Linked DNA regions of Ovis aries. The protein of the gene in region 2 interacts with the protein of the main gene of each other region in a pairwise test. Links are inferred from orthologs where the notes say so. Each region holds a gene or a part of one and is shown on either strand. Other genes may lie near its edges. The genes, in order: FAM124B, MTUS2, SPG21, PKP2, RPA1, THAP7 and SDCBP.

What was found.
Region 1: the proteins of MTUS2 (region 2) and FAM124B interact in binary tests that used the Homo sapiens proteins (3 or more experiments, as listed by UniProt). The link is inferred for Ovis aries from reciprocal best matches to the Homo sapiens genes MTUS2 and FAM124B.
Region 3: the proteins of MTUS2 (region 2) and SPG21 interact in binary tests that used the Homo sapiens proteins (3 or more experiments, as listed by UniProt). The link is inferred for Ovis aries from reciprocal best matches to the Homo sapiens genes MTUS2 and SPG21.
Region 4: the proteins of MTUS2 (region 2) and PKP2 interact in binary tests that used the Homo sapiens proteins (3 or more experiments, as listed by UniProt). The two-hybrid records come from large-scale screens. The link is inferred for Ovis aries from reciprocal best matches to the Homo sapiens genes MTUS2 and PKP2.
Region 5: the proteins of MTUS2 (region 2) and RPA1 interact in binary tests that used the Homo sapiens proteins (3 or more experiments, as listed by UniProt). The two-hybrid records come from large-scale screens. The link is inferred for Ovis aries from reciprocal best matches to the Homo sapiens genes MTUS2 and RPA1.
Region 6: the proteins of MTUS2 (region 2) and THAP7 interact in binary tests that used the Homo sapiens proteins (3 or more experiments, as listed by UniProt). The two-hybrid records come from large-scale screens. The link is inferred for Ovis aries from reciprocal best matches to the Homo sapiens genes MTUS2 and THAP7.
Region 7: the proteins of MTUS2 (region 2) and SDCBP interact in binary tests that used the Homo sapiens proteins (3 or more experiments, as listed by UniProt). The two-hybrid records come from large-scale screens. The link is inferred for Ovis aries from reciprocal best matches to the Homo sapiens genes MTUS2 and SDCBP.

The regions. Positions count from the first base shown.
Region 1 is NC_056055.1:226,558,936-226,562,993, forward strand, and holds the start of FAM124B (protein FAM124B), read right to left. Parts: upstream 2,801-4,058; 5' UTR 2,472-2,800; coding exon 1,740-2,471; intron 1-1,739.
Region 2 is NC_056063.1:31,674,265-31,678,353, forward strand, and holds the start of MTUS2 (microtubule-associated tumor suppressor candidate 2), read right to left. Parts: upstream 2,801-4,089; 5' UTR 2,644-2,800; intron 1,629-2,643; exon of another isoform or gene 1,476-1,628; intron 1-1,475. UniProt on the Homo sapiens protein: Binds microtubules. Together with MAPRE1 may target the microtubule depolymerase KIF2C to the plus-end of microtubules. May regulate the dynamics of microtubules at their growing distal tip.
Region 3 is NC_056060.1:11,887,484-11,890,983, forward strand, and holds part of SPG21 (maspardin), read right to left. Parts: intron 2,933-3,500; coding exon 2,852-2,932; intron 1,917-2,851; coding exon 1,771-1,916; intron 1-1,770. UniProt on the Homo sapiens protein: May play a role as a negative regulatory factor in CD4-dependent T-cell activation.
Region 4 is NC_056056.1:182,512,061-182,516,272, reverse strand, and holds the start of PKP2 (plakophilin-2), read right to left. Parts: upstream 2,801-4,212; 5' UTR 2,757-2,800; coding exon 2,543-2,756; intron 1-2,542. UniProt on the Homo sapiens protein: A component of desmosome cell-cell junctions which are required for positive regulation of cellular adhesion.
Region 5 is NC_056064.1:22,831,594-22,834,473, reverse strand, and holds the end of RPA1 (replication protein A 70 kDa DNA-binding subunit), read right to left. Parts: intron 2,048-2,880; coding exon 1,961-2,047; intron 606-1,960; coding exon 501-605; downstream 1-500. UniProt on the Homo sapiens protein: As part of the heterotrimeric replication protein A complex (RPA/RP-A), binds and stabilizes single-stranded DNA intermediates that form during DNA replication or upon DNA stress.
Region 6 is NC_056070.1:72,373,248-72,376,886, reverse strand, and holds THAP7 (THAP domain-containing protein 7), read left to right. Parts: upstream 1-1,140; 5' UTR 1,141-1,180; intron 1,181-1,330; coding exon 1,331-1,410; intron 1,411-1,646; coding exon 1,647-1,802; intron 1,803-2,200; coding exon 2,201-2,338; intron 2,339-2,520; coding exon 2,521-3,073; 3' UTR 3,074-3,139; downstream 3,140-3,639. Other genes in the region: tubulin alpha-3 chain, read left to right, coding at 357-653. UniProt on the Homo sapiens protein: Chromatin-associated, histone tail-binding protein that represses transcription via recruitment of HDAC3 and nuclear hormone receptor corepressors.
Region 7 is NC_056062.1:37,739,715-37,743,214, forward strand, and holds part of SDCBP (syntenin-1), read left to right. Parts: intron 1-1,749; coding exon 1,750-1,828; intron 1,829-3,048; coding exon 3,049-3,158; intron 3,159-3,500. UniProt on the Homo sapiens protein: Multifunctional adapter protein involved in diverse array of functions including trafficking of transmembrane proteins, neuro and immunomodulation, exosome biogenesis, and tumorigenesis.

The DNA.
Region 1 (4,058 bases), on a different chromosome or scaffold from region 2:
ATCAGTATGACTCATATTTTATTAATAACTCAAAGCTGATGAGAATAAAATTAATCAAAGGGAAAGATAATTCATCTTTTAGCCTGCTTTTACCTTATCCAGTAGGTCTTAAAGCACTTCCTGACCATTTCTCAAGGACAGGAACTTTGCTGTGAATATCATGTACACCTCCCTGCCCACACACACTTACAGAGTACTGGACTGTGGTGGTTAACTTGCCTGGTTTCAGAGCCAGGTAAACACTTAATCTTGTGTCTTGAGCAAGTAACTGGTACCTCTACTCCTTGGTTTTGCCTTTTGTAAAACTTCCTAGGTTGTAAGAAGGACTAACTAAAATAATCAAAGTGAAGTACTTAGTCTAGGGCATAGTATCAGAGAAGGCAATGGCACCCCACTCCAGTCGTCTTGCCTGGAAAATCCCATGGATGGAGGAGCCTGGTAGGCTGCAGTCCATGGGGTTGCAAAGAGTCCGACGCGACTGAGTGACTTCACTTTCACTTTTCCCTTTCATGCATTGGAGAAGGAAATGGCAACCCACTCCAGTGTTCTTGCTTGGAGAATCCCAGGGACGGCAGAGCTTGGTGGGCTGCCGTCTATGGGGTCGCACAGAGTTGGACACGACTGAAGCAACTTAGCAACTTAGCAGGGCATAATATAAACAATAACAGCTAAAATTGCTTTCTGGGCACTAGCTTAAGCTCTTTATAAATGTCAGGTCACTTAGTTAAATAACAACCTGTCCTCTAGGAAGATGTTATACTACCCTCATTGTGCTAACGAAGGAAACAAGGTTCAAACATCATGGAGCTACTAAGTGGCAAGGTTCAACTGTCACATAATATTGTATAAGAAATGACTTGTGGTAACTGTAATTATGCTTGCTTTCAGTAGGATGCTTACCAGAAGATTTTTTAATTCAAGCTTTTCTCAATTTTGAAGGGTTCTAACCATCTAACTTGATTTGGGATAAAATTTCAGAGTGATGCAAGATACTTAATAGTTAGGTCAACAGGATGGCACGTTTACCATTTGTTGTTGTTATTGTTTTAGTCACTAAGTCATGTCTGACTCTCTGTGATCCCATGGACTGTAGCCCACCATGCTCTTCTGTCCATGGGATTCTCCAGGCAAGAATACTGGAGTGGGTTGCCACTTCCTTCTCCAGGAGATCTTCCCAACCCAGGGCTCGAACCCACGTTCCTACATTGGCAGGCAGATTCTTTATAACTGAGCCACTAGGGAAGCCCAACATACTTAACATTCCCAACTTTAATCATAACTTCAGCTTTCTTAGGTTCACATGGAAAGAACTAACGAAATTTCTGAACTGAAAGAGTGGGCAAAATATTGGTGTCTAGTTAAGGAGCATGGTTACAGGAAAATCTGAAAAATGGGACGTTGTCTGAGTCTACTGCAAACTACTTGTGTAAGTTACCAGCTCACAGCATCCGAACTTCCTCTCCTGTCAGATGAGGGGATTTGATTAAACCAGTGACTCTCAACTGTGCTATAAGTTATATATTAGCATTATCCAAGGAGCTTTCAAAAAATACCCAAGCCTGGGTGCCCCCAAAGATTCCAGTCTAACTGATCTGGAGTGAAGTCATGACATGAGAAGATTTGAAAGCTCCCCAGAGATCCTGGTATGCAAAGAAGGTTGAGAACCACAACATGATTTTGGCTGTCAAATCATACGGCTACACGGGCATCTAGAGATCACAGAGACCAAACAGACATACCTGAAGCAGAATCTTGTTGCCGTCATAGTCCTGTGTTTGCCACCGGGTGCGGCTGATGGGGACGCAGGGATGGGGTAGAAGAGGCACTAATTGGCCAATCTCCTGGACCTTGAACTGCAACACTGAAGCCTCTTTGGGGTCCACCGATGTTCCGAGGGGCAGCTGCTTCAGGGAGAGCTGCAGGGCAAAGGTCTCAGTGGAGTAGAGCACGAAGAAACAGAAGTTGCTCTTTTGCAAGGTGGCTTCTCTCTGCAGGATCATTGCGTAGAGCCGGATGGCATCTTCGTAGTTATCAAAACTGCAGTAGAGTGTCACTCTCAGGATCTCGGTGCCACAGTGCACCTGCCTCACGCCCCAGATGGGCATCTGGCTGTCCAGACTGTAGAATTCCTGATTGGCAAGAATGTAGGGGCAGGGTCTTCCCTGGGCGTTCTGCGTGGGGTAGCACTGCCACGGCCAATGCTGTAGGGAGTCAAGCACGCGGAAAAGCCTCTCTTCGCCTAGGTTCTCCTGCAAGAAAAGCAGAACAGACATCCCCGGGAAGCGTGACCGCTTGGAGTAGCACTTGTCGTAGTATTTCACTGGACTGGCCCGCTCGGACACAAGAAAGAGACGGATATCTGGGCAAATGCAATCTAGGAGCCGATCCAGGGTTTGCTGCAAAAGCAAGCCCTGCCCCGCGTTGGCCAGGAGGTGGACAGTCATGGCCGGGGCCTCCGGTATCTCATCCATCGTGGATGCTGAGGATGACAAAGGATGCTGGCGAATGGGGCCCGCAGGTCCGGCTTCTGAAATGAACTGGAGGGGTGGGAGGTTCCTACATTCAGCCTTCAGCCCAACAGGAAAGCTTCAGGACTTCAGAGCCACGCTCTTATCCTGTATGCCTGGTTGCTGCTGGCCACACTGTGAGAGAATCTCCACAGATTCGGGGACAATAGCCTCCATGAGACACACACCAGCAGCGGGGTCCATGTCATCCAGCCGGTGTATAATGTAACTGCGAGTGCAGGGCTGTGTCAGGCACTCCGGGGTTTCTGTTTGACCTAAAAACCTATAATCCTGAGAAACACTCGAGTGGGTGGTTCTTACAGACACTCGGTAAAGGAAATGACCAGGCAAAAAGGAATAAGAATCGGCTGTGAGAGGCTGATAGCAATCTGTTTAGTTGAAAAGACATCCATTTTCTGGGCCCACAATGGGTTCTGGTTTCCTCCTTCCCTCCCTCCCTGTTTACAGTAGCCCGCCAGGCCACCTGAACACAATGACTGCTTTAAAACAATCCTCCCAACTTGTCCCTTGGCCAGGAATTTTCCCCCTTTGTCTTTTTATTTTCTTCTTGAACAATGGATGCCTGGGCTTTGAAGAGAAGTTACTATATCCAAATAATTTTAACTGTTCACTGAAAATGATTCTCTCTGCTGCCAAGTGTATTCAAAAGATATTTACTCAAGCCCATTCTTTAGAAAGAGTGAGACCTTTCTAAGGTCAATAATAATCTTTGTTCACTCTGTTGAGGATTTACTACATACCAGTCATAAACTGTTCTAGAACTTTACGTAAATTGGTTTAATCCTCCAGCAAACCTATGAAGAGACCATTGTCCCCAAATTACTGAGAAGGAAACTAAGGCACAGAAAAGTCACGTAACTTGCTTAAGGTCTCAGAGCTAAAAGCGGCTGAGGGAACATTTGAATCCAGGAACTGAGTGAGTGGCCCCGCTGTGAGCCAGGGAGAAGGTACCTCTCTGGGACCCAGATGTCCCAGACTGGACTTTCTCCCTGAATATAAGGAAAGGCTGCCCAAGCAAGTTCTCATTAAGGACATTTATTTCTCAGAGACTCTGTGTGCTGTTGAATCTCAAACTGAATAATCCTCAATAAGAACATCCAAGCTCTAAATATACAAACTTCCCTGATGGCTCAGATGGTAAAGAATCTGCAATGTAGGAGACCTGGGTTCGATTTCTGGGTTGGGAAGATCCCTTGGAGGAAGGCATGGCTAATACTCAATAACACCCAAGCTCTAAACATAACACCTACCCTAATGTGTTCTAAATATCCATTTAAAAATCATTAGGAATTCTGATAGCTGTGCTACTAAAAATGTAGACAAGCACATTTTTCTAACTGTAATTTTTAAAAAGCTATTTATTAATGCTTTTAGTGCAATTCAGGAGACCCCAGTTCAATTCCTGGGTTGGGAAGATCCGCTGGAGGAGGGATAGTTTACCCACTCCAGTAATCTTGGGCTTCCCTTGTGGCTCAGTTGGTAAAGAATCTATCTGCAATGTGGGAGACCTGGGTTTGATCCCTGGGTTGG
Region 2 (4,089 bases):
GGATTCCTGATAATACCACTCAGCCCTGCTATTAGCAATCTGCATTTTCTCGGCAGCTCAGCTACAATATTGGCCAGATTTTTTTTTTTTTTTTGTCTTTTCATAAGACTTCAGATGTTGAAATAAGAAAAAGCATTTTTGAAAGTTAACATTTGAACATTAATTAGGAAACGGGAGATTCAGGGTTTGTAGAGCCTTACATTTATATGACGTATGGGAGGTGAGAGGCAGAGAGTGTCTTCCTTATTAAAAAAAAAAAAAATCCACAATTACAAATGCAAACTTCTGTGGCCAGGAGAGCACGCTGCCAGTGTCCCTCCCGGGGGCTTGGATGGAGCCAGAGTAAGGGCCCCTGAAGCTTAACATTCATTAGCTTCCCCGTCAAGGCGCCTCTGCTGGGAGACACAAAAGGCTAGAGAGGTTAATACGGCAGCATTAAAATCTCCAGAAAACCGCTAAGCAGAACTGTCGTCTCTTACATCGGTCCTCTGGACGCTGTTCTTATCTCTCTTTCACAAACCTCCATCCCTGCTGTTCCCTCTAATTTGGCAGCAGCGATTCATTATGAAAGCGCCTGTGCTGGGCTGGGCTTGTACATCCTTTCCCTGTTTGGGCTTCTCCCATCCAGCACTGTGTCAATTATGTAATAGCCAAAACAGGGAGTTTCACAGAATACGAAAAGCATAGTCGCAGCTCTTACATAAGCCTTCACAAACCACCCATAAGATCCACCCCTAGACTGCAATATTGGGAAATTACATAAGGTAGAAAGAAAACACTGATTCAGCAGCCAAGTTTATTTCCAAACTTAAAGACAATAAAAGCTTTTTTGCACTTTTTTGGCTAGTCTGTATTCACTTAATGAGTGTTGAATGTGATAGAAAGAATGATCTTTCAATAAATCTTGACCGTCTTTCCATGTAAACAGAAAGGAGTATCTTGACACCACGACTCAACGTCACTGTCACTTCTGCACAGAGAGATGTCCCACTTCCCAACTTAGTCAACAGGGGACCATGTATCCCGATAAACATCAACTACTGGGGGACTTCCCTGGTGGCTCAGTGGTAAAGAACCCAGCTGCCAACGCAGGAGACGCAGGTTGGATCCCTGAGTTGGGAAGATCCCCTGGAGGAGGAAATGGCAACCCACTCCAGTATTCTTGCTTGGGAAATCCCATGGACAGAGGAGTCTGGCGGGCTGCAGTCCATGCAGTTGCACAGAGTCAGACATGATTTAGCAACTAAACAACAATATCAACTACTCCTTGTGGATTTTTTAAAAATCAAGAAGATATTTTGACAAAATACAGACGTGAACATGCTATAATTCTTCAACATATCTCCCTTCCTATACCATTTTTCTCTCCCCATATTTCTAACCACTTGTTTTTTACTTTCTTTAAACCACTGTAGCCACACCTTGGGCTACAAAGTGACAAATTAGAAGAAACAGTGCTATCCTATGGGTCTCACCTCAGCTACAGATTGGAATCACTAGGGAGTTTTTAACATTCCAAATATCACAGCATCACCAAAACCCAATTAGAACAGAACACTGAGGTGCCGGTCACAAAAGGAAGTGCCCAGACATCAGTATACTTGATATTCCTACTTCTGTCTTCTTCCCTGAAAAAAAAAAATATCCATAAACACAAGTAGAGATATTAAAGGTTATCTAAATCTTTAATAACTGGCAGCTCATAATTACTGAGTTTCCATCAGCTATAAAAAATAAAATAAGTCACTAGTTTAAAAGCCACAAAGAATATCTGTGGGATCTTTTTTATTACTATCAATACGTGGTTCAAGAATTTTCACCAAGTCTCTCAAGAGCCTTTACAAAACTGTTCTATTTTTTTAACGTTTTACAATTTTACCTAATGAGTTCAAAGAAAGGGCCCTATGTTATCTTTAAGGCTATCTCCAGCTAAGACCATGTTCATCTTCCAGGAAAGTTTAGGTTTAAAGCAGAAATTGTGGCTCTGACTTCTCTTCACCCTCTCTTCAGAGATGCTCTGGTAATTCCTTTTATAACTTTACCAATGAGCAAATATTTTTTTAAAAAGCACTTATATAACAGAGAGTACAGGCGCCTTTGGTACCCTGCCAAGAGTACTTCTTTCCGTGTTTGTATTTAAAATAGAATGGTAGTAACATCACTTGTGCGCCTGAAATTCCTTCTGTGCACAGGCTCAGAATGAAAAAAAAAGAGAAAAAAAATGGATGTAGCAAACCGCTTCGCTGCTTTACCATTACACAGCTCAAAGGAAATAACACATTCATACTAAATTAAGACGAAGAGGCAGAACAAATTATCCAAAGCTGGGGGTGTTGTTGGGGTGGGGGTGGGGGATAGAGAGGTAGGGATTCGGTTGAACCAACCTACCAGCCCTTCGAAAACAGAGGATGTTTAACCTGACAGCATGCGAAGGTGCCGGAGGAGCTGCAAAAAAAACCTCAGCCGGAGCAGGTGATGCAGGCAAGAAAGAACAAGCGCTCGGATGGCAGAAAAGCCCAAATCAACCCCGCGCCGCCCAGCGCCCCCGCGGCGGGCGCTCCCCGGCTCCGCGCAGGGTCCGAGAGCGCCGGCCCCGGGGCCCCGCCAGACCCGGCCGGACGGGACAGAGGAGATTCCGCTCACCTGGGTGGGAAATAGCCTCGGGAGGTGCCCAGGAAGCCACGCTGCCCTGATGGAGAGGCTCATTGCGGACTGGCTTCCCGCACGCCTCCTCCGCCTCCAGCTCGAGTTTTCCTCTTTGGCGACAGGTCTAGACCCGGCCAAGCGGCCGCGCAGGTCCGCAGACGTGGGTGGGGGGGCCACAAACTTGCGGGGAGAAGCCGGCGGCGGCGGCGGCGCGGGCGGAGGAGGCAGGGGCGCCCCCCGCGCGCGGTCCCCGCCGCCGCCCGCCCACGCCCGCTCGCGCCCCGCGCTCACCCCGCGCCGGCACCGCCCAGGCTCGGAGCGCGGGGAAGGCGGGGTAGCGCGGACCCGGAGGCTGAAGCCCCCCAACGGATGCAGCGGCCGCCCCTCCGGCCGCCTTGCCGGGACAAAGAGAAGCGGCGGAGCGGGATGGGAGGGGGGTGCGGCGAAGCGCGGGCCTCGGAGCGCGCCGCGCAACCCGCGCGCCTGGCCGGAGAGGTGCGGGCGGCGGGGACCGCGCGGGCGGGCGGGCGGAGAGGCGCGCTCCCCGTCCGGGCCTCCCCGAGATGCACACGCCGGGACCCGCGCCCCGCAGCCCCGCAGCCCCGCCGGGGAGGCCGCAGCGCCCTCTGCCGGCCCCGGGGCCGCCGTGCGCGCGGCGTCCTGCTCCGGCTCCGCGCCGCCACGGCCCCCCGACGTCCCGGCGCCCCCGGGGGCAGGGGGCTTCGAGGAGGGGGGGGGGGGGGGTCTGCTCTTCTCCCCTGGGAACAGCTTCCAGTATGAGCTGCAGCAGGAATTGGGACCCAGCACGAGAAACGTGGAGGGCACTGGGACTCCTGATGCAGGAGGGGCCCCAAGTTGACCTCTGGAAAGGTTTGCGAAAAATGCAAGCGTTTCTTTCGAGAATCGGGTTTATCTGTGTCTAATAAACACCAAAGGCGGCTAACACTGGTCGAGGGGGTGCCAGAGAGCCTCTCGGGAATAAATATGTTGATTTATTTCTCAAATAAGTGCTCCCGGCTTCCCTAAGCAGTTCGTGCGGCAGGCTTCAAGAGGTGAGCCAGGTCAGAGAACTTCCGCTGCCTCGGGTTCAAATGTCAGTGGGATAAGCCTTTGCCTTTATAAAAATGAAATGTGGGTGCTTGTCCCCGCCCTAATTAGAAGTGTTTTCTTGGTGGCTCAGTTGGTAAAGAGTCTGCCTGCAATGGGGGAGACCTGGGTTCGATCCCTGGGTCAAGAAGATCCCCTGGAGAACGGAATGGCCACCCACTTAACTATTCTTGCCTAGAGAATTCCAGGGATCTAGGAGCCTGGCAGGCTACAGTCCATGGGATAACAAAGAATTGTACAGGACTGAGCGACTAACACTTTGACTTTCAACTTTTTAGGGGTCTTTGTCCTAACTACCACATTAAGCAGTATTTTACACCAGTTAATATTTGAAGC
Region 3 (3,500 bases), on a different chromosome or scaffold from region 2:
TCTCTGTATTAACTAGGCATTTGGGATTTAGAGATTTAAAAAACCCAGTCTCTTCCTTCAAAGAGCTAGTTTTGAAGCATCTAGTTTTTATAAATGCTTTCTCAAGTTCCCAAAGAGTTATGGTTTCATATGATCAAACTTTTGAGGATTGGGAATAATTATAAGCAATATTTCAAAATGCCTTTATTGCAATAAACATTCTGATAATTCCAAGATTTTATTTTCTAGTTGGTCTTATTTTCAATGGCTAAGCTACTTGTGGAAAACTGAACACTTACTATATTAATCTGAAGGTTTATATCACCCTTTGATTAACATTAAAGGATAGATTTCAAAATAGTAAAATCACAGAGTTATTATACCTACTATTGCTACTAGTGGATTCTTGGGCTAATTCAAGGCAATTCAGTCTTCATGTATTTCTATATGTGATCTTTAGTTAAGAGTGTACTCCATTAATTACATTGGGAGCCCTTATATAGGATAAACATGAATTTTTTTAAACCTATGCTGAAAATAACTTATAAAAGGTACAGACCACCTTCTGATGTACATTCTCAGTAAACGCCCCTCATAAGGACCAGTTAGCCATCTTTCAGTCACCTTCAATGATCTAAGTTCTCAACTCCAACCCATCCCAACAGCTTCTTAACTTCTAAAGGGGATGCTGCCTGGGTGTTTTCTGTGGGTGAGTGGGAGGGGTGGTCATCCTCTTGGCTCTGTTCACCCCTGAAGCCTCTGTGTGGCACATAGTAAGTACTCAGACATTTGATAAAAAAATTCCTGATACGCAAGAGCACCAAGTGGGGGAAATCTTGGCTTCTGACAATCAAAACAACATGAAAAACTCGTCAAAAAGAACGATTTTTGCATCATATTGACATGAAGTATCTGTCTAATGCATACAAGAAACTGCTGCACAAATGCTGAGTAAACAAGCGAGAAAACATCAGGAAACATTTTTTTAAAAATCAGAATGCAATAGTAAATAGTTGTGAAAACCATGAAAACAATGTTTACCTAGAACATTTTGTGAAAACCAATCTGATCACTCAGGTAAGTTAAGTCAATAGGCTACTTTTGGGGGGTAGAGCCTAGCCTTGCTAGCAATGAAAGAAATATAGTGAAGTCAGCTTTAAGGTACCATTAGACATCTATAAAACTAATTCAAATGATAAAATCAATGAAGGGATGGCTCAGAGAAAGCAGGTACCCCACTGGTTGCCTTGCAAAACATTCTGCCCTCTCCATCTTTCTAAAAAGCAGACTAATGTTGTACAAGTGCCAGCGAACTAAACAGTCTCTCCATTTCGGGGAACCTATCTCAAGGAAATGACCCAGAAAGAGAAGAACAAAAGTAATTTACACACAAAGATTTACAGTTGAACCTGATGAAAAATTGAGAGAAGCCCAAGGTCTTAAAAAAAATGTAACAGTCATTACACAGAACTCTGTACACAAAATACTAAGTGGAGCAAGCAGAACACAGTATCAGTGAGATAAGCTCTGAAGGGAAACTGTAAAGGCATTGGAACCATAATACACAAAGCCAGGCGATGATTTAGAGTAACGGGAACCACTGAAGTTAGAATTCTTTCAATTCTTTTCCTTTGCAAGGGTGACCATTTCTAATGCTAAAAGCCAGGATGGTTTCAGAAGACAAAAGTATATATGGCCCCTCCCTCCCTAATGCTTCAAAAAAACCAAACATCACCATTTTCAATTCCACTGAAAATAACAAAACTGTTGGTCGAAGGTTTACATTCTTACCTGTTTGCGGTCCATGTTTGGTTAAAGATAGAGGTGTCACTGAAGGAATTGCAGAGGATGAGGGAGTGGACTCTGGGAGATTTGTGAGTGTATTCAGCAAACTTTTGGGCCAAAAAGCCTCCCAAAGAAGCCCCAAAGAGATGAACCTAATCGGAAACAAACACAAGGATCCTAAAAACAATGACTGATCTTTAAGTATCAAAAAACTGTTTTAATTATCACCAACCACAGAATATAATGTTATCACCAGTCATTAGACTGAAATATTTACAGCAGTTAGAAGTTTAGGAAATACTGTGTTTAAATGCAATGTCTATACCCTGTCAAGAAACAATACAATGGTGCATAAGTTATAGTAGTTAAAAAAAATATTATTTCCAGATTACATTAGAAAATGAAACTACTTTGCAGTTTCTGTTTAAGAAAACAGAAATTTTAATTCGGTAATTCAGTATTTCCACTCCTAGACATGTATTCAAGAGAACTGAAAACATCTGTCTTCACAGAAATTTGTGTAAGAATGTTCATAGCAACATCCCTCATAAAAACTAACCAGTGGAAAACAAATCAAGTGATGAATGGGTAAATAAAATGTGTTTTATCCATACAATGGGATTTTATTTAACAATTAAAAGGAATGAATTATTGATAGAATTTGCAACATCGATGAACCTTGAAAATCTCGTGAGAAGTGAAAAAAGCCAGTCACAAAAGACCACAAATTACATCTTTATATTTATATAAAATATCCATAACAGGCAAATCCACAGACAGGGCTCCAGGGAGGAAGCAGGGTAGTGTCTGCTAAGTATGGGGTTTCTTTTTGGGGTGGAAAAAATATTCAAAAATTGACTGCTGTGATGATTGCACATATCTCTGAATATATTAAATAACAGTGAATTATACACTTTAAAAAGGTAAACTGTATGGTATGTGAATTCTAGCTCAAAAGAGCTGTTATTAAAAAATAAAAGACAACACCAGACAATGATGTAATCATTGCATTAAAATCACATGTGAAAAAAATAAATAAAATAAATAAATAAAATCACATGTGAGTAACTAGTTTTAAGGTACTCACTTTATCCAACTGTAAATGGTCTAAAAGTTTTCTGAATCCATCACAGAATTCAAGGTGGTCCCAATAAACTGGATACTGCAACTAGAATATAACAAGTTTTAAATTTATTTTAAAAACTGTAAAAGTAAAATACAATTCATACGTATCTGAAAACTTTAGGGCTCTCACAACAGTGTTTCTCATTTGCTCAATCTCTGCTCCTTTTTCAAAACATGGGAAAATAAGCTCTCATCTTATCCTAGACTTCAAAATTCCAATTTTATCTAACAGAACAATTAAAAAATAAAAATAAAAATCACACTCTAGTGATACTACATATACAACAATTTCAATTCACATCAATTTCCTTTCCAAATAGCAAGAATTACAATGCAAGACATTAGAAATGCATTTGAAATTAAGAGACCAGCACTTAGAACAATAGTGTGTGTGTGTGTGTGTGTGTGTGTGTGTGTGTGTGTGTATGTATGTACAGAGAGAGACAGAGAGAAAGAGAGAGAGCGAGAGAGAGCACGCTATATCAAAACCTCATGGTAACTGCAAACCAAAAATCTACAATAGATACACATAGAAAAGAAAAATTGATCCAAACAAAACACTAAAGATAGTCATCAAATCGCAAGTGAAAGTATGTTAGCCACTTGGTCAT
Region 4 (4,212 bases), on a different chromosome or scaffold from region 2:
CAGAAGCTTTGTTCCTCAGTTGGACTCAAGCAGTTACAGCAGAAGCATCATGACAGGGCCCTTTGTTCTACCATATCAATTCTGTGAACTGTGTAATATTCCTGCTGTTCCCCCTAGAACACTCTTCCTTCAACCCATTACCTATGTCCAATCCTACTGATTTTTTTGAGACCTAAAATCCCAATTCCTCCAAGAAACTTTTCAAAATTCCCTCCAGATAATAGTCTAACTCATACTTCTAAACTTCATAATTTGTTGGCTGTTCTTCCTTTGAGTAGCTTGCCATTTTTTATTTGATTAACCCATTTTTTAGAGAGCATTTTCCTTCTACAGACTTTGAACTCCTTGCTTTAAAGCAAAAAGAGTGTATGTTTAGTTCAGCACCTGCAGCAGTGCCCTGGATGAAGACTAGACACAACAGAAAGTTCTTGAATTCACCACACAACATGAATGCACCATTTTCAAGAGAAAAATCATGTGTGGGTTTGGAACTAAGCGTCCAATAAATGTTGAGAGACTGACAGACTTTTCATATGTGAAATGGATCCTCGCATCTATTTCATGTAACTATTTGAAGGATACAATAAAATGCAAACATAATCTTGAACAGGGTTAGGCACAGAGTAGACGCTCAGCAATGCTCCCTTTCCTTTTGTTCATTCCCTATTTTTACTGAATAGTTGATGTCTGCTTGCTCTTCCTCGCCATTCTCAAAGTGTAGGAAAAATATTTCATGTGCCTTCCTTGCGTTCCCCTATGCAGAAGCAGCTAGTCTGGCTCCAGTTTAGCACTGGATCCGCACAGACTAAAGGGGTACAATGATCTCACTGGTCAAAAACTGGCCTCAGTTGTCCTGGGATCTTTAGTCAGATTCCTAAATGTAAATTAGGTTCTTTTTTTCCATGTGCTATGGCAGTTCTGTGTCACTGAGATGTCTCCACTCTCGCAGAACTTTATCAATTATATTTAAAGGAAAAATGGGAATGGACCATAGACAGGCTTGGGTCTAATAAAAATCCTACTTTGTATTAATTACCAAAAAGCTTAACAAAGTAACTGATGAGTAGTTTAAAAATTAAGGCTTGGGAGTTTTTCTGCTACTTACTATCTGTGGGAAATTGTTACTTAACTGCTTAGTAAAGCAACCTACCTCACAAGCATTGTTTTTTCCTGGAAACATAAATAACATAATGAATACACACCACAAAGTCCAATTCTTGGCACATAGTAGGCACACAATTATATCAACTCTAATCATTAAACAGCTTCTCTTTACCTTTCAAGTACGTAAATACTGATTGCCTGACCCTTTAAAATTATTTTACACAAATGGAAAACAATACAGCCTCTCAGTTTCTGCGGTTTTAGATCTCTGATCTGGTCTGCAAGCATTTTTCTTTTTCCTAATCGATTCTACAGTTGTCATTTCTCCAGTTAACTTCCTAGACAAACAGTTCAACATCGCATGAAACAACTGGTAACCCAACTTAACTGTTTCTTTCCTCTTCTCTTTTCCATAACAAGCCTAGAATACTTTTATATTAAAAAATTAAACAACTAATAAAATAATTACTGGGGGGCTCTGATCATCTGACTTTTAGCAAGAGAGAAAAGGTATTTCACGTTCTCTAATTTTCAGAACTGGTTTGCCATCTTCTTCCCCTTCCACCTCCTTAACTATCAATTACTAAAACAAAAAAAACAAAAAAACAAAAAAACCACCAAACCTTGTTCACTTCCAAAGTTTAATTTTTTTGTAAATACCAGCGCTGTACTCACGAGTGCGTTGGCGGGGCACAAGCAAGCAAGGCAGGCGGGACTGCTGCTGGCCGGGTCAAAGTCCCCTTCTTTCTTCTCCTCTTCCTAGTCAACCCGCGGGGTGGTGTGATTGCTCCCCAGCCCAAAGTCTCCTACCTTTCACTTCCTAGATGAAACCACTCGCTCCATACACGAGGTGGAGTGCCCCGAAGTATCTAGGCAAGGCCCACAATCCCAATTTATAGGTTGTAGGAGAGCCAGTACTTTCAGGTTTTCTTTTGAAAAATATTTATGGAGGTCACAGATCCTTTAAAAATTTTAATAAAAGCTCAGGGCGCTTTCTCCCAGAAAAAAATGATTATATCAAATTTCTGCACAGAATTTCAAAGTGTTTACAAATTCCTGGAACCTTCAGATGAAGTCCCCTGGGGTGGACGGCCTAGGGGAGTAGGTTAAGGAAGGGGTGAAAATCTTGGACTGAATTCTTTTCAAATATATATATTTATACACACGTATATGCATTTAATATACGTAGATACATACATGACAAATCTGAGTAAGAGGTAATTTTAAGAAAGAGTGCTTTTCCAAAGTAAGCTGGTTTGAGTCTGGAGGCACGACTGGCCGTACAATGGGCCGGCAACCAACAGGTGTGCAGAACCCGGGTCCTGCACCCTCAGGAAGAAGCAAGAGGAAGCAACCGGGCGCTGAGGGTGAACGGGGAGTAGGGAAGGGATAAAGGGCAGGATGAGGGCGGTGTAGGGGACAGCGGGGCTGCACTCACCGTTGCCCGCGAAACTGCGGCCCTTCCGGGCCAGGGTCTGCTGCACCTGCTCCTGGATCCGCAGGCTCTTGACCGCCTGGCCGCTGCTCCCCGCCAGCTTCAGCTTGGCCTCGGAGGGCAAAGCCAGGCTGGAGCTGTCCAGCTGCCCCAGGATCTGCTGGCCCAGGACTGTCCGGATGTAGCCGCACTCCGCCGAAGAGCCGGGAGCAGCCATGAGGCCGGAGCTGGGGACCAAGCCGCTTGCCTGCCGCGAGACCTGCGGGAGAAGCTGCGGCGGAGCCCGGGGCACCCGTGCAAGCCCCGCCCCACCGCCCCGGCCCCGCCTCCGGCCCCGCCCCCGCGCCGGTGAGAGGCCGGAGCTGAGGAGAGCAGGGCCTTCGGAGGCCGGAGCTGGGTCTAAGGCAGGAGAGGGGCGCGGCTCTAGCGCGCCTAGCACTCGGCTAGGGAGCTGGGCCGAGCGGACCTCGCGCGCCGACACCTGGCGAGTTGAACTGCTCACAAGGAAGCGGGAGAGGGGCGCGGTCCGCCGTGGGGCGTGCACACTCTCCGAGTCATCTCGGATCCTGCGGGCCGGGGCCGCACCCCGCTCTCTATGCCTCGCCTGGCCTCCGCCTAGCCCTCGAGAACGACGTGATTTCCGCCTGACTGCCGGGGTCGACCTGCAGGCACTTGCTCCCTGGAGGGTCAGTGCTGTTCTTGGGCCGAGGTTTGCCTCTGGGATCTCCGAGGGAGTAGTCTGTCTGGTTCAGTCAGGCTCTGTCAGACTGTTCGAAACATTTCCTGGATCTGAGATGAGAAGGGGCTATTTGATCAGGCTTAAGAAGGCAGTAGGAGGGAAATGTGCTGAGAAGACGATCTGTGTGAAATAAATGAGTTTTTAAAATAGTTTTTTTTTTCTTCCCCCTTCGTACAGTTTCAGGGACTGTCCTTTTTGCGCAGATGCAGTCCCGGAAACATATGTTCTTCCTTACTGAGAGTTTCTGTTTTCTCTTGCACATACACAAATTGTACCCAGTACAGTCTTGCTCACCCACTCCTCTCTTATGAACACTCCCACACAGAGAAGCTCCGATAAGAGAGCAAGCACGCTTTCAATAGCTGATACTTTTAAAGTCCTTTTTATGATAGACTCTTTGTAGGGATCCCATGGAAGGAGTCTATGACTTTTCAGTCGTGTATTCCACAATGTATTGCTATTAGTTGTGTTTCACACTTCGTTAACTGCAGAGAACATGATGAGCTAAACTTAACAGAAAGAGCCCTTGACCTTAAAGCTTTCAAATTAAGTCACTCATCCGGCTTTCCCTCTTTGGACTTGAGAGGCAGAAGGAAAAACATCTATCCCCGGTAATAAGATAAATTCCATTTGATTACTTGGGATTCTATGTTCACTCTACCTCAAATCACTGAGTTATTGCAGAACCTCACTTATTCAGGTTTCTGGTGGCTAGAGAACACAGCTTCTCCTGTCTCCGTTTTCCTATGGCATATCCTTTTGTCTTTACACACACACTTAAAGCACAGTATAAGGCCTTCCAGGGGATGAATAGGAAGTGAAGGGGCCCAAAGCCTGGACAACTGGAGTGGCAACAATTCTGCCATCCTTGCTCAGCTGGCCACATGGGAAGCCATGTGAAGCCATGTAGATGGTGGGTCTTCTATGCAATTCC
Region 5 (2,880 bases), on a different chromosome or scaffold from region 2:
GCCTTTGAAATCAAGGAAGACAGGCTTCCTAAAACACTCAAGTTCCTCCACAAAACCACTTCTCAGCACTCCCCTGGGAAGGGGCCCGAGCTGAGAAGGTGTCGCCACTGGAGAAGCGGGAACCCTGCCTACATAATTTAGTTCACTGTCTACAGATTGAGGGTCAATTTCCTGTGACATAATTTCTGGTTGAAAATAACGAGATCTTAGTAAAACTGACAAAAGCCTAAGGACAGGGGGTGAGTGGCACTACAGTCTGTGCAGCTGACCCCGAGGTCTGACACGGTTTACACCAGAGCCCTGCGAGCGTATTTCCCTTTGCTGTCAGTGGGTTCCCAGGTGTGACGAGAGGCGATGGCTTAGTCTGTGGTAGAGGGGTGCTCTGCACCGCTGTCAGTCGGGGCGGGGATGGTGGTGCGCGTGGAGGCTGGGGGTGGGGGGGGGGGGGGGATTCAATCAGCCCTCTATCCACACGCTCCTGCCCCCTTGGCAGGATCCTCTCACATCGCCGCGTTCCTCCTGATGTTCATGACCAGCCTTCTGCCGTATTCTTTGTAGTCCACAGGCTTCACATCCACCACCGTGGCCTTAATCCGAGACTCATCCTTTGAAAAGAGAAGAACGATTTGTGATGGAAGAAACACCTGTGGCCATGCTCCTGGTTTCAGTGACCCCAACAGGAGAGAGCACGAAGACATGCTGGTGGTTCAGAGTCCCGAGAGCCCAGGAAAGGAGCCGTGCTGATGAGCACCGGGGCAAAGGCCCTGCACCGGTTCCTCATGGTCCCAGACACTCGGAAACCTGGACTCCAACAGAGCCAGAAACGGGAGCCCAGAAGACAGTGGCTTGCTAAAGCTACGCCACGGGCTCTGTGAGCGGGCGGTAGGAGAGCAGCCGTGCTCGCAGCAGAGGGCGAAGCCTGCTTCGGCCTGCCTCAGCTCCGTGAGAGGCGACCTTGCTGCCCTTCACCACCCCTGCCCACGCCACACAGGGACCAGTGACCCTTCCACCCCTCCCCCTCGACCACCCCCACCCCACCCTGACACCACACTGCTGACATCGAAAGGCTCATTTAATGCTCACAAAACCAGGCACAGCTGTTAGCAGGTATTAGGGTTCAGGCCTGACAAGAAAGCAGAGCAAGCAAATCCTGAAACAAGCAAGGTTTTCTGAATTCTCCTGTCGCCTGTTCACCAGGTTGGACAGTGCCTTCAGAGGCAGACTGGGGTGAGGCCAGCTCAGGGCCTGCACACTCCAGCTCTGTACCTACAAAACCCAGTCAGATCTCTAAGCATGTGTAGAGCTCTGAGGCTGGACTGCCTACATGCAATTATCAGCTGTGCCACTTGCTAGCGTATGAATTTAGGCAAGTTACTCAACTCTCCGTAACTACAGCTTTTCACTAGCAAAATGCAGGCAACAACAGTTCCTTCACACAGGGTTACTGCTAGGATGAATGGAGACGAAGTATGCAAAGGGTGGGGAACAGTATCTGGCAGATAGTCAGCACTCAATAAAGGCTGTTTTTTCATGATTTTATAATTGTATGACGTTATGAGCAATTAAAGGAATTTCCAAGGTAATGTTAACCACATGTGGTCTTTCTCTCATATACTGACTTTAGAACCCAAACCATGGGGAAGATGGGGTTTGTGTCTGTCAGGACACAAACCAAAATCCCCCAGGTTTTAACTGAAAAGGCCACACAGCATGTTTTCCTTGGCTGTTATTACTGGACATGACCCCTAACCTCTCTCTTGGTCTGTTTGCTCATCTGAAAACAGAGATGGTAACAGCACCCTAATGTTGGTGACTCAGTGAGTAATACATGCAGGGTGTTACGAGTTGGGTCTGGAACACAGTAAGCGAGGAACTGACAGCTAACACTGTAGTGGGGTTGTGGGTGACAGACGAGAGTTCTATGCTGCTACCCTCACGCACCACGGGTGACGCTACTTACATTGTAGGTCTCCAGTTTGACCCTGATCCTGAACGTAAAAGATCGAAAGTTGGCATTCTGGAAAACTTCCTCAAATGCTTGCTCGTTCTGCAGAAACAAAACGTAAAACTGTCAGCATGGAAACTACCAGACCACCTTAAATTATCTATACGGTTTTTAAAAAGACTTGGAGGAAAATCTCTGAGAAAATGATTACCTCCCAGTGGCTTGAAATTTCTTAGGAATGACTAATATATAGGTGACATTTCATCGCATAAAACTGTTTAGGTAGAATTTTATTAAAAATTAAAATACTCTACCTAGAGTACTCAATTTCATACAGACAGAAAGTGGAATGATGGCTGCCAGGGGCAACAGACAGTTAGTGTTTGATGGGTACAGGGTTTCAGCTGAGGAGGATGAAAAAGTTCTACAGCTGGATGATGGTGGCAGCTGCACAGCAATATGAAGGTATTTTAATGCCGGTGAACTTATACATGTGGGCTTCCCTGGTGGCTCAGCTGGTAAAGCCACCTGCAATGGAGGAGACCTGGGTTCAGTCCCTGGGTTGGGAAGATTCTCTGGAGAAGGGAAAGGCTGCCCACTCCATATTCTGGCCTGGAGAATGCCACGGGCTGTATAGTCCATGCGGCTTCCCTGGGTTCAGTCCCTGGGTCGGGAAGATCCAGCGGAGAAGGAAATGGCAACCCTCTCCAGTACTTTTGCCTGGAAAATTCCATGGACGGAGGAGACTGGTAGGCTATAGTCCATGGGATTGCAAAGAGTCAGACACGACTGAGCAACTTTACTGGTTCACTGGTATAGTCCCTGGGGTCGCAAAAGAGTCGGATACGACTAAGCGACTTTCACTCACTCACTCACAATGGTAAATTTTACGGATATTTTATCACAATAGAAAAAAACTAAACACTCTTAAACAC
Region 6 (3,639 bases), on a different chromosome or scaffold from region 2:
GAAGACAGTTCACCCCGACGGTGTCGAATCCTCACTTGTGAGTCTGGGTGTGGCGTCACGTGTTGACGACCGTCTGTCACCATTTTCCTGGAATCTTTCCCCACGTTTGTATTAGGTTTTCTCATTATAAAAGTGTGTATGTGGCAAGATATTTTAGTCATGCAGAAGGCTGAAAAGCTCAAGTCCCTTCTAGAAGTGAAAACGTGGGATATTAAACTGCCAGATCCTGCCGAAAAAGAGAGTACCCGTTCCTACAGGGCGTCGTCTGAAGTGGGTCCATGGCCCCCATGCTTAGAAACGAGCTACCATTTCCGAGGCCTCACTCCCAAGTTGAGCATGTTCTCTTTCTCCGGCAGGTGGGCATCAACTACCAGCCCCCCACGGTGGTCCCGGGGGGAGACCTGGCCAAGGTGCAGCGGGCCGTGTGCATGCTGAGCAACACCACGGCCATCGCCGAGGCCTGGGCCCGCCTGGACCACAAGTTCGACCTCATGTACGCCAAGCGCGCCTTCGTGCACTGGTACGTGGGGGAGGGCATGGAGGAGGGCGAGTTCTCGGAGGCCCGGGAAGACCTGGCGGCGCTGGAGAAGGATTACGAGGAGGTGGGCGTGGACTCGGTGGAGGCGGAGGCCGAGGAAGGGGAGGAGTACTGAGGGGGGGGCGCGGCCGCAGCCCTGCACCCGGTCCCCCGACGGCCCCTTCACAGATGTTTCCCTATTAAAGTTTTTGTGTTGAGCATCATCTGTGTATTGCTTTGCGGGAAACGGTGTTCCTCCCCACGGCAGTGTGGCGGCAGAGCCGCACGTCTGTCTGACTCTGCCGAGCGTCACCGGGCGCGTTAACCCGGGAAGGAGCGGGGGCGGAACCGGGACGCGCGCTCCACCTACACACGTCGGGTCAGCGAGCTCCTCGGGGCAGGAAGCGGACCCGAGCGGGTCTGCGGATCGGGGCCCGCATCGCGCGCCCCGGAGCAGCGGCGCTGGAGCCACCCCCAGCCCAGGGCAATCCCCGCTGCCGGCACCACCCGGATGCGGGCGGCCTGGGCGAGGCCCGCGGCCCCTCCCGCCGCTTCCGGGGCCCGCCCCTCAGCGAGCGCCGCGCGCTTCCGCGTCTCTATGGTCCCGACTTCCGCGGCTCGGCAAACCTCGCGAGACCTCGGCGGCGCCGCAATGGCGAGACCGTGAGTGCCGCAGACAGGAGTCGGAAGAGCGGGCTGGGGCGGGACTCGGCGAGGTCGGGCCGGGGAGACTCTCCAGGCCGCGGCCGCCGGAGCGGGGCGGCGGCCTGGACCCCGGCGGCCGCTGAGACCGAGCGCCCGCCTCTGCCCCAGATGCCGCGTCACTGCTCCGCCGCCGGCTGCTGCACACGGGACACGCGCGAGACGCGCAACCGCGGCATCTCCTTCCACAGGTCGGCGCGCAGGGCCGCTTGCGCATGCGCCCGCCCCGCCGCCGCGCACGCGCCTTCGCGCCGGGGGCGGGGCTCTGGCGGGGCGCGCAGCGGGCGGGGGCGGCGCCTGCGCTGCGCGAGGATGCCGGGCGGGCCTGTCTCCCCGGGAGCGCGCGGGCTGGGTTCGCAGGAGGTCCGCGGGCGGTATGAGCCGGGCGCACCTTCCCGTCGCGCTCACGGGCTCGCGGCCCCCGCAGGCTTCCCAAGAAGGACAACCCGAGGCGGGGTTTGTGGCTGGCCAACTGCCAGCGACTGGACCCGAGCGGGCAGGGCCTGTGGGACCCGGCGTCCGAGTACATCTACTTCTGCTCCAAGCACTTCGAGGAGAACTGCTTCGAGTTGGTGGGAATAAGGTGAGCCTCCTGGCAGCCGGCGGTCGGGAGGGCGTGAACATGGGGCGGGTGGCCGGTGGGGAGGCCGCCGGAGTAGCAGGTCTGGTGCTTCCCACCTCGTCACCTCAGCTTCCGCTCCAGGCGGACCTGGGCAGCGAGACCCTAGCCCCACGCCTGCCGCACTGGCCACAGGCGGAGCGCGCTCCCTGCAGCCCCAGCCCTCCCAGCAAAGGCGCGGAAGAAACCCGTCCTTCTGCCTGCTGCTCCGGTGGTGGGGGGGCCCTTAACTTGGGAAACTCCCTGAACTCATTGTCGGCACGCTGCCTCCCACTTCCTACGGAGCCAGGGTGGCAGGCTGCTCTGCCGCCTGCAGTGTGGCAGGACTGTGTTCCGTCTCATCCAGACCACTCTCCCCGCAGTGGGTATCACAGGCTGAAGGAGGGAGCAGTTCCAACCATATTTGAGTCTTTCTCGAAGTTGCGCCGGACCAAGACCAAGCGGCACGGTTACCCGCCGGGCCCCCCAGAAGTCAGCCGCCTGCGGCGATGCAGGAAACGGTACGTGCTGTCCCGCTGTACAGCCCCGGAGGGACCGGCCTGCAGGGTGCTGGCCAGCAGCCTTCCTGGGCGCGGCTGGGAGCCTGTGGAGTGGGCTCAGGGATGGGGGTGAGCGGGGCTGTGAAGCGGGTCAGGGCGCGCTGCGCCTGGCCCGGCGTGTCAGTCTGTTTGTCTCCTCCCAGCTGCTCTGAGGGCCCGGGGCCCACCGCTCCATTTTCCCCTCCTCCACCTGCTGACGTCGCCTGCTTTCCTGTGGAAGAAGCCTCAGCACCTGCGGTCTTGTCTGCCTCCCCAGCCGGGAGGCTGGAGCCTGGCCTCAGCAGCCCCTTCTCCGACCTTCTGGGGCCCCTGGGCGCCCAGGCAGATGAGGCGGGCTGCAGCGCCCAGCCCTCCCCAGAGCGCCAGCCGTCCCCCCTGGAGCCGCGGCCCGCCTCGCCCTCGGCCTACATGCTGCGCCTCCCGCCGCCCGCCGGCGCCTACATCCAGAGCGAGCACAGCTACCAGGTGGGCAGCGCCCTGCTCTGGAAGCGGCGGGCCGAGGCCGCCCTGGATGCCCTGGACAAGGCCCAGCGCCAGCTGCAGGCCTGCAAGCGGCGGGAGCAGCGGCTGCGGCTGCGGCTGACCAAGCTGCAGCAGGAGCGAGCGCGGGAGAAGCGGGCCCAGGCCGACGCCCGGCAGACGCTGAAGGAGCACGTGCAGGACTTTGCCATGCAGCTGAGCAGCAGCATGGCCTGAGGGGCCACCTGGACAGGGAGCTGCCCTGAGCCGTGTCTGCCACAATAAAGGGGATCCTCAAAAGAAGCCCTGCTCTCTGGCTCAGCGGAGCGTTGGGGCCCCGCCCCCTGGGTACCACGTCCATCTCCCCCGACTGGCTATAGCCCGCTAGAGGGCTCGACCCTGCAGTCGCGGTGATCCCCAAGCCCCCAGGCTGGCCGAGGCCCCCCTCACTCAGGCCGTTGCCGAACTTCCTGTGCCTCCAGGTGAGCGCCCCTCGACCGAGCCTGTCCACCCACCCGCCACCCCCAGGCCCGCCAGTCAGGCTGGAGGTGTGGCAGGCCCTGTGTGGATCCTGGGGGCACAACCTGAGGCAGGAAACGAGCTTTAAGGCTCAGAAGACTGTTTTCCCCTAAGTGGCTTCCTGGCAGCCTGGGCACAAGAGCTGTTGTTCCCAGAAGGGGGGCAGAATGGTGCCTTACCCACTGGGATGGACGCAGGGCAGAGGATGGGGAGGCCCAGCCCCGCCCAGGCAGGAACCTCCAGGCAGCTCAGGAGTACGGCAGCCAGCAAGGGGCCAGGAGAGG
Region 7 (3,500 bases), on a different chromosome or scaffold from region 2:
TCCCAAAGAAAGGCCATGCCAAAGAATGCTCAAACTACCACACAGTTGCACTAATGCTAGCAACGTAATGTTCAAAATTCTCCAAGCCAGGCTTCAACAGTATGTGAATCGTGAACTTCCAGATGTTCAAGTTGGATTTAGAAAAGACAGAGGAACCAGGGATCAAATTTCCAATACCTGTTGGATCATCGAATAAGCAACAGAATTCCAGAAAAATGTCTCTTCCTGCTTTCTTGACTATGCCAAAGCCTTTGACTGTGTGAATCACAACAAACTGGAAAGTTCTTAAAGAGATAAGAATAACAGACCACCTGACCTGCCTCCTGAGAAATCTCTATGCAAGTCAAGAAGCAACAGTTAGAACTGGACATGGAATAACAGATTGGTTCCAAATTGAGAAAGGAGTACAGCAAAACTGTATATTGTCACCCTGCTTATTGAACTTCTATGCAGAGTACATCATGAGAAATACTGGACTGGATGAAGCACAAGCTGGAATCAAGATTGCTGGGAGAAATACCAATAACCTCAGATATGCAGATGACACCACCCTTATGGCAGAAAGTGATGAAGAACTAAAGAGCCTCTTGATGAAAGTGAAAGAGGAGATGTTGGCTTAAAGTCAACATTCAGAAAACTAAGATCATGGCATCTGGTCCCATCACTTCATGGCAAATAGATGGGGAAACAATGGAAACTGTGACAGACTTTATTTTGAGGGACTCCAGAATCACTGCAGATGGTGACTGTAGCCTTGAAATTAAAAGACACTTGCTCCTGGGAAAAAAACCTATGACCAACCTATATAGCATATTAAAAAGCCAAAGTCCGTCTAGTCACAGCTATGGTTTTTCCAGTAGTCAGTTATGGATGTGAGAGTTGTAATATAAAGAAAGCTGAGCACCGAAGAATTGAAGCTTTTGAACTGTGGTGTTGGAGAAGACTCTTGAGAGTCCCTTGAACTGCAAGGAGATCAAACCAGTCCATCCTAAAGGAAATTAGCCCTGAATATTCATTGGAAGGACTGATGCTGAAGCTGAAACTCCAATACTTTGGCCACTTGATGCAAAGAACTGACTCATTGGAAAAGACCCTGGTGTTAGGAAAGATTAAAGGTGGGAGGAGAAGGGGACGACAGGATGAGATGGTTGGATGGCATCACCGACTCAATGGACATGAGTTTGAGAAAACTCCTGGAGTTGGTGATGGACAGGGAAGCCTGGTGTGCTGCAGTCCATGGGGTCACAAAGAGTCGGACACAACTGAGCAACTGAATTGACTGACTGAACACCTTATACTTGGTAAAATGTAGATAAACATTTCATTGGGATATGCTGAAATGGCAAAATAAATATTAGCAACTTAAGTATTTAAATTTTTAAGTGTTCTCCTGATATATACTTAGGTAAATATGGTTAAGCTTTTTTCTTCAGGTAAAAAAGGTACTTTTACTTAGACTAAAGTGTAACTATCATTTCTTAATGCATTGTGAAAATATTTGCAGTAGCACTATGAAATATTAGTTATATGTAGAATGGTGTTTAGTTTTTTAAATAGTGTTAAATATTTATATTTTTAATTTTTTATTTTTCTTTCAAAATATATTGCTAAAGTGTTTGAAATTAGAATTTCCTAAATAAAAGTAAAGGGTTTTAGGGGTTTTTTTAATTACTGGATTTAAGTTATATGAGAAGTCTTTTTAAGTGAGTCTCTATAGAGTGTTGTTAGAATTCTTTTTTTTTTTTTTAGGCTCAGACTGCCTTTTCTGCAAACCCTGCCAACCCAGCGATTTTATCTGAAGCCTCTGCCCCCGTCTCTCAAGATGGAAGTAGGTTTATTCTTTGGGTTCCTTCTCCTTGAACAGAGATACCTGTTAAGCCTTCTTTTACTAAAATAGAGAATCCAGAGTATATATATATTTTAACATTTATGGCATGAAATTGGCTGTTAAAGCTCTAGTAGTAAGTTTATTTCAAAACAACCTTTTAATCAAGAAAGTGAACTGTGACTATGAAAGTATGTTTATGACTTTATGAAAATTGTTACTTAAATTTCACCCTTTGCAAGTCCTTGACTCACTGAACTGTCCCCTGTCTTAGGGCTGTGGGGATTGATAGCGTTCTCCTTTAGGGGAACTTTCCAAATCCTGGAGTCTCTACTCTGACTCCATACCCTTCTCCTTTGTTCCTTTTCCTTCTAAATTCATAGGAATTCAGGACAGAACTCTTAAATAATATGACTTCAGATACAAAAGGTGTGGCAATCTCAATGGGGGGGGGAGTTGGGAGAGAATGGATGCATGTATGTGTATGGCTGAGTCCCTTTGCTGTCCACTGCAACCACTACAACATTGTTAATCAGCTCTACTCCAGTATAAAGTGAAAAAAAAAAAATGTTTTTTTTTAAATACAAGAGGAGTGTTAAATAGGTTTTTATGGCCTGTCATCTTATAACATTGTTTCCTTTGGAAAATCCATAACTCACATAAAGAGCTTTTGGAAATAGTATCTAACTCTACTGTTCAGTTAAATACTGTTAATACTGAAATGTACTGTTTCAAAGATTTCATTGCTGTGTATTCTTAAACTGATATGATAATAAATTTACAAGCGTTTTTTTTCTCACAGTTCATTTTTTTGGGTACATTTTATAGCTGTGTTTACTGAATGAATTAAAATGTAGCTGATTTGAAGTGTACATTTTGGTCAGTTGTTCTCAAGTGGAGAATCAGTGGTATGTGTAGAAAATTCCTAATAGGTTTAAGAGAAAGAAAAGGCAAGATAACTTGGAAAAATTATTTCTAGTCTTGAGTATTTAGAAGTCTGAGGTTTCAGTTAAAATGTCTTCATACTTTCACTTTTATTTTTCTGTTTTCCTTTTCTAATTGTCATTACAGAGAAAGGGGTTTTCCAGATTACTAATTTAAATTCATCCTAGATTTTATAAAATCAATGTGATTTTTAAAAATACAAGTAAAAGTCCATAATAACAATGTTTTTTTTAAATAGTCTACTAATTTTTTTTCTCTACTGATTCATTTGTTATTAGATCTCTATCCTAAGCTATATCCTGAGCTCTCTCAGTACATGGGCCTGAGTTTAAATGAAGAAGAAATACGTGCAAATATGGCCTTGGTCCCTGGAGCACCAAGTCATGGGGTATGTATAATGTAATTCGTTCTGAATTATATAAAATCATACCTTACACAGAGATACAAGCTAACTCGTCTTTGTGGCAAACTCACAAATTTATAGCCTTAGCATTGATCTCTTCTCAGGATTGCCTTCTAGGTATTGCTTTTTACACAGTCTACTTCCTTCTGTGCTGTTACCACTTTTCTGATTTATTAGGAGTTAAAGATACAGGTGCCTTTAACTGGTACATTCTCCTTTGTCTTCTGCATTTAGTTACAGACCTAGTGACTCTGCTTCTGGTGTGTTTCTTGTATTCATGTTATGCATTGTAGGCTTGCTGTAGCCCTGTCCATGATTTATACCTCT